Linked DNA regions of Kluyveromyces lactis. The protein of the gene in region 1 purifies or fractionates together with the protein of each later gene. This does not show direct contact. Links are inferred from orthologs where the notes say so. Each region holds a gene or a part of one and is shown on either strand. Other genes may lie near its edges.

Region 1 (3,030 bases):
ATGGCTGAACCATTCACCTAAACCAGGCCGTGATATCATCAATAGAGAATTCGCGATGGCGTTCAGATCTGGTGCATACAAAAGATATAATTCGTTCAACAGCGTACAGGAGTTCAAAGTACAGATCCAGAAGGCTAATCCAGATAGATTTGAGATCGGTGCAGTGTACAATAAACCGCCAAGGGAGCGCGACTCTTTACTTAAGACTGAGATGAAACCGATGGAGAAAGAATTAGTTTTCGATATCGATATGGATGATTATGATAGTTATAGAACATGTTGTTCTGGGGCACAAGTGTGTCCCAAGTGTTGGCACTTTATTAAATTAGCTATGAAAGTAATCAATTCATCTTTGGAAAATGATTTCGGTTTTGATGAGTTCATTTGGGTTTTCTCTGGTAGACGTGGTGCCCATTGTTGGATTAGTGACAAGAGAGCCAGGGTCATGACGGATTCTCATAGGAAGAACATGTTGGATTATATGAACGTGGTTAGGGATAGAAATATTGAGAAGAGATTGAATTTGGTTAGACCGCTGCATCCACATCTATCAAGATCTCTGGAGATTTTGAAACCTCATTTCGTTGAAATCATTCTAAGGGAACAAGACACTTGGAGAGATGATGAACTAGCGATAAAATCTTTGGCTACCAGTTGTCACGACAAACAGCTATCTGAGCAGCTAAAGAAACTATGGACCAACAAACCTGGAAGATCAAGTGAGGAAAAATGGAAGGACATGGATGTGATAGCGTCTCAGCTAATAAGTAGCTTTCCTAAACAGAGACAACACGATTATTTGCAGAGACTACGCGAGAGTAAAGAAGATATCATCATCCAAACGCTATACCCTAAATTAGATGTGGAAGTCACAAAACAAACCATCCATTTACTCAAGGCTCCATTCTGTATACATCCATCCACTGGTAACGTTTGTGTACCGATTACAGAAGAGTTCTCACCAGAAATGGCACCAAAACTTATAAAATTACAGAACGAAATGGATACTAACGATAATCAAGTGCAACGCACTTCACTACAACCGTACCTAGACATGTTCGGAAAGTATGTCAACAAGTTGGTCAAACAAGAATTATCCTCACAAAAGAGAGACCGTGAAGAAGATATCAAGTCGTCTATTGACTTCTGAATGCCTAATTCAGCTGTCTTGCATGATCAAGCACATATATACATATGTATATTTACAAATAAGAACAATACCTATTTATCGATACTACCTGAAACAAAACAGTAAAATAAAAAACATTCAACAAGTGTATTCTTAGTTACTATCACCCCACAATTGGCGCCTAGCTTGGGCTTCATTCCTGCGAATAAAACGCTTTGTCTGTTTCTCTCTCTGTGTATTGTCACCTTTCATACAGTGGAAAACCTTTAAATGATGTTTGAAAATGTTTAACTAAAATACAATTGACAAAAAGAACATACACTTACGGTGGCAAACCTTTATCAGGGAGGAAACAGGGAAATATAGGGTCTATCGACAGTGAAAAGAGTCAAAGTTTATACTAAATCTCCCAATGGATGTTCTATTAGGTATAAGAGTCAAGGATTCGGTGATATTGGCCTCTTCAAAGGCTGTAACTAGGGGTATTTCAATTTTGAAAGATTCAGATGACAAGACCAGACAATTACTCCCTCACACACTAATGTCGTTCTCTGGTGAAGCTGGTGATACAGTACAGTTTGCTGAATATATCCAGGCTAATATGCAATTGTATTTGATTAGAGAAAATTATGAATTGTCTCCTCATGCGGCATCGAGTTTTGTTAGAACAGAATTGGCTAAATCCCTAAGATCGAGGAAACCATTCCAAGTTAACGTATTAATCGGTGGTTATGATACCAAGAATGAGAAAGCAGAGTTGTACCAGATAGATTATCTAGGTACTAAGGTAGAATTACCATACGCTGCCCACGGTTACGCTGGTTTCTACACATTCTCTCTATTGGATCGTCATTACAGAGAGGATTTAACAGTAGATGAAGCCTTAGGTTTATTGAAGCAATGTGTACAAGAGCTAGAGCTAAGAATGCCAGTTGATTTCAAGGGGGTTATTGTAAAAATCGTGGATAAGGATGGTGTTAGGGTCGTTGACGACTTTTAGTGCAATCTTTCTAACCAGAATCAAGTACATACACATATTTACATCTTTTGTATAAACAAAACTCAAAGTAATATCTTATCTCAGAAATACCCAAGAGTCAAAAGCATTTTAAGTTTGGAGGTGTCGCTGGTAGATTAGCGTGTATCGATTTGTCTTCTCTCTCTTTTTGACGTTGATCAATATACAATTTTGAGATTTATTGACTTTATTGTAAACCATCTTATCTCATCTCATCTCAACAAAACATGAAAAAAAGGATAGGCAACATCACTGCAACAGCTTCGTCTGATCTGTCCTTTCTAGTACCTACCTAAGTTAAGGTTGCTGCTGCGAATAGCATGTCTGATGTCAAGAAGGAGATATGCAAAGTACTCGGTTTAGATGATGAGATAGTCGCTGATTTTATCATCAACATAAATAAGAACTGTACCACGAAGAATGAGTTTAAGAAAAAACTGTTGGAGATGGATCAGGATTTGAGTGCCGCTGTTGTGTCCGACATTTATGATGTGGTGAACAAGACTGCTGGAAGCACAGCAGCCACAAGGGTTAAGACTCTTCTTGCTGAGCAGCTTGATGTTCACGATGATGTTGTCACCAATTTCATTATGGACATTTGCAGTAAGAGCGAAACGTTGCTCAAATTCCGGGCAAAATTGAAAGAAATGGAGGCTGGTGTATCGGATAGTCTAGCTCTTCGTATTTTCAACATTGTTCATTCCTCAAATGTGGCTGTCAAAACGGAAATCGAGGATACAAAGTCTGCACTTTCCTTACCCAACACTACTGTTTCTTGGGAAGGAATCGAAGAAAAAGCTTCCAACAAATCAAGATTTAGGAAGAATGAAACGGTTGATCCAGAACCTGTGCTTGATAAAGTGTATCCTGGAAAGGTACAGAA
Region 2 (4,039 bases), on another chromosome or scaffold:
GGTGGATAATATTGCTCAACATGGGTTACACCCACGATATACTCACCTTTTAATCAACTTACCTCTTATTTGCGGTCCCATTATCCTACTCTTTATTTCACAAAAAGCTGTGCTTAAACTGCCTGCATTATCTTGTATTTCTGGCATATTAATGCTTTCTCTTTTCAGACATCAGGAATTACGCTTTATAATACCGGTTCTACCATTACTTTGTGCATCGATGAACCTTGACAATTTCGATACTTTCTTTCAAGCAGAAACCATCATAACTTCATGGCTCGTCTTTAATATTGTCATGGGATTGATAATGGGAGTATTCCATCAAGCAGGAATAATACCTCTCATATCCTACTTCTCAGGTGAAGAATTCCCTGTTCATATTTGGTGGAAGACATATTCTCCTCCGACGTGGATGTATTCCAATCCTGATCTGACGGTTTCTACCACGAACTTTAAGGAAAATGTAGAGTTTGTCGATAATATACCTTGGCATGTTGTATCAAATCATGTTGTTGATTTAAAAGGTAGTGACATTGAGTTACTAAATAAAACTCTTACAAAATTTTCGGAGAACACAGACTCAATTCAGCTAATCATGCCAAATACTGTTCTCGATAAATTGACCCCCCTTCAGTCGCAATGGAAGTTCATCACAGAATGGGAGACGCAGCAGCATCTCGATTTAGATCACATTGATATGCCAGACTGGACTACCATAAAGCCAGGATTAAGGCTATACAACGTAAGTCTAATAGTTTGAAATATTACTGGCTTATTTTCTATTAGGAATACTTTCCAATATACACTGCATTTACCGATATGTATTGAGTCAAACACAATTAAATTAAATTATTTATAGAAGTCGAATTTATCAACATCGCTACCTGACTTGACTTGTGAAGCATACGCTTCCTCCAAATCGCTTTGTAGGATGACGTATCTGTTCTTTCTGACAGCTCTTAGACCAGCTTCTTGCATAATGGCGGCAATCAAAGCACCAGATAAAGGATCATTTCTGATGATCAAAGAATCTAAATCTGCTTCAGGAGCTAAAGACATCTTTGCAGCTATAGTACCAAAAATTAAACGACGTTCACGCCTGTCCCTTAATGAAGGGAATTCGATCTTTCTGTCTAATCTACCAGGTCTTAACAAAGCTGGATCTAGAGTATCAGCACGATTGGTTGCCATTATAACTTTAACATTTGTTGACTGATCAAAACCATCCATTTGAGTAAGTAACTCAATCAATATACGTTGGACTTCACGATCAGACCCTGTCTGAGCATCGAAACGTTTTGTAGCGATGGAATCCACTTCATCGATGAAAATAATTGATGGTGAGTTTTCTCTTGCCAATCTGAAAACATCTCTAACCATTCTTGGCCCTTCACCTAAGTATTTATGCACAAACTCTGACCCGTTCACTCTGATGAATGCGGCTTCTGTCGCGTTTGCCACGGCCTTAACTAACATAGTTTTGCCAGTACCAGGAGGACCATAAAGTAAAACCCCTCTTGGTGGGTCAATACCAATCTGTTGATACAAATCCGCCTGTACCAAGGGTAGTTCAACAGCTTCTCTTATTTCTTGCTTCTGCATGTCTAACCCACCAACATCGGCATAGGTGACATCTGGCTTTTCATTTGCGGCCATGATTGATATGCTAGAATCTGAATCAGGTGGTAAAATATCCACAAGGGCATTAGAGTGACGATGTAATGCAACTGAAGTTGATGGTTTTAACAGTTCCCTATCTAGAGTCGATAGAATCCTTACGACATAACTCATACCTGTGGTCGAGGAGACGATACCGGTGTTTTCGTCAATCGGTTCCAAAAATTGACCAATGACAAGTGGCACAGATTGGATTCTTTTCACTTCCTCTTGGGCTCTGAGTAATTCCCTCTTCAAATGGCGCTGTTCATCTTTGATATAATCTTCTTGTAATGTCAATAATTCATATTCTTTCTCCAGCTTCTTTAGTTTCAAGTAGACATCTGAATTACCATTCGCCACGGCAAATGAATCATTATTTAGCTGAGCAAGTAGGGAACCATATGATAGACCATTATTCTTTGCACCAAATTCTACACTAAGAACAGGTTGAGGAGTACTAATACCTAGTTCTTCCATAATGTTTTGATCTTAATTCGTCTTTCCCGTAGTGTGTAAATATTCTAACTCCCTTTAGACTATGATCAAATAAAGACGAAAGTATCCGAAAACACAGAAAAGTTCCAATAATATACTGCAATTCCAATAAACTAAGGGGTCAGTCTTACTACTTACACGGATATATGTGTTTGTACCTACATATATTTATAAACGTATCCCCTTCCACACTAAAGTGGTTATGTCAAATCGTTCAGTTTAATAATTGCATTATTTCATTAAAAAGTTAAATCTCATTTTGGGTATTTTGCCACCCATTTTGCAGTCACGTGATCTCGGTTCTTAGACAACTTTTTCGAAGGGCCTACACTGTTTAGAATGTTAACATGATAGGCTACCCACTACGTATATCAATGCACCTGTGTATACTCAAATGCAGTGTCCTAATAGTATACCTAATGATAAAAGTAGTGTGGAGTACGAGTAGAAACAACTCTTGGTGAAAGTGACGGTTGTCTCCGGTAAAAGAGTTACCAACTTATTATAGTATATTGTCCACTGTAAAGAACACCATATCTTAAAGTCAGCAACTATATTTGAAAATGTGAGGATTTTGGGAACTTCCTCCTGATGGGGTTTTGTTTGAGTTTCTTGAAGTTTTTTATCCATCAAATTGTCTATGGTATTTGACATTTCTGAAATTGCCAAGTTTTGTTCCTTTTGATGATCATCAAGCGCCATTTTTACCTTATCTTCGAAAGAACCGACTAACCTCCTTCTCTTCCAAGGTTCTAGCAGTAATTGAAATATTACGAAGAAGAGTATATTTACTCCCATCAAAATAAATGTACCCCATGTCGAAGTTCTTCTGATCTTATCTGACCAGATTTGTTCTTCGTGATACCTTGTAAGAATGGCTCGGTACAAATTCGTTGAAAGTTCCTCCTCCTTAGCCTCAAGTTCTGCGAGTTTTACCTTAGATTGTTCTTCCGTTTGAGAGTTCAATGCGTCATCTCTGTATAGTTGGGTAAATCTATCAAGGTCAGTAGGAGACCACGAATTTTTTCTTTGCAACAATTCATTAACTTCCTTTTGCGATCCCGATCTTGCTTTTATAGCTGTCTCGTACTTTTCCTTTGCTTCATTGACAAGTTTTTTAGTGTCCTTCAGCTCTTCTTCCAATGAGGAAATTGTATTTCTTAACTTCTGAATACTGGAATATCCTGTTACGTCATTCAAAGCTCTGGTGGCTGTGAATATGGTCTCTTGCAATGAATCTAAATACAGTTCCATTTTGCGAGCCCATTTTTTACGATGTCGTTCTCTTTCGCTAGGTAGGTCCTTGATCTTACCTTCAGCGTTATAGTTCAATTTTGAATCGTTACTGTCATTTTCCATCTGAGACAATCTCTCGTTCGCATCCTTTAAAGATTTTTGAGCTTTGTCCCATTGTGTTTTGAAATTCACTGAGTATTCCCGAAGTTTATTAGCTGTCTCGTTTGCCTTATTTTGTGATTTCTCCCAGTATGCACCAAGCTTCTGTTTCCAAGTATCAACTAATGTGGAATTTGTATTCGGTCCGGTTGAATAAAAGATTCGAGGATTATACTGTGTCCAAACACGAGGGCTACTCGGAAGTCGCACGATTATTCTTCTGACCAGCATATTATAAACTGGTGTACCCGACGTTGTAGTCAGCTATCTGTTATATCGCTCAATATCAAAATGATCTCTAATTTACTATGGGTGTTTATATTCTTTAACTTATAGTGGGCATGATTGAATTTTGATAACTCAAATACCATACCTAGACAAAAGTAAATACAAGCGATGAGAAAAGAAGTAGGAATAGAAGTTGCAAACAAATGAACGCGTTGAGTGATGAATGGGATATCTATCAGTTTGAAATCTAAGAACAAAGTCA

Evidence for each region. Proteins that work in one complex are often made in the same cells at the same time.
Region 2: the proteins of PRE1 (region 1) and RPT3 purify together in Saccharomyces cerevisiae (affinity purification with mass spectrometry; 4 studies listed by BioGRID). This does not show direct contact. The link is inferred for Kluyveromyces lactis from reciprocal best matches to the Saccharomyces cerevisiae genes PRE1 and RPT3.

Annotation. Positions count from the first base shown.
Region 1 is NC_006038.1:1,023,364-1,026,393, reverse strand, and holds PRE1 (proteasome core particle subunit beta 4), read left to right. Parts: upstream 1-1,541; coding exon 1,542-2,129; downstream 2,130-3,030. Other genes in the region: DNA primase subunit PRI1, read left to right, coding at 1-1,150; DEAH-box ATP-dependent RNA helicase PRP22, read left to right, coding at 2,468-3,030. UniProt on the Saccharomyces cerevisiae protein: Non-catalytic component of the proteasome which degrades poly-ubiquitinated proteins in the cytoplasm and in the nucleus. It is essential for the regulated turnover of proteins and for the removal of misfolded proteins.
Region 2 is NC_006039.1:570,316-574,354, reverse strand, and holds RPT3 (proteasome regulatory particle base subunit RPT3), read right to left. Parts: upstream 2,137-4,039; coding exon 850-2,136; downstream 1-849. Other genes in the region: SMP3 (glycosylphosphatidylinositol-alpha 1,2 mannosyltransferase), read left to right, coding at 1-760; SHE9 (She9p), read right to left, coding at 2,545-3,780; spliceosome ATPase-activating subunit SPP2, read left to right, coding at 3,997-4,039. UniProt on the Saccharomyces cerevisiae protein: The 26S proteasome is involved in the ATP-dependent degradation of ubiquitinated proteins. The regulatory (or ATPase) complex confers ATP dependency and substrate specificity to the 26S complex.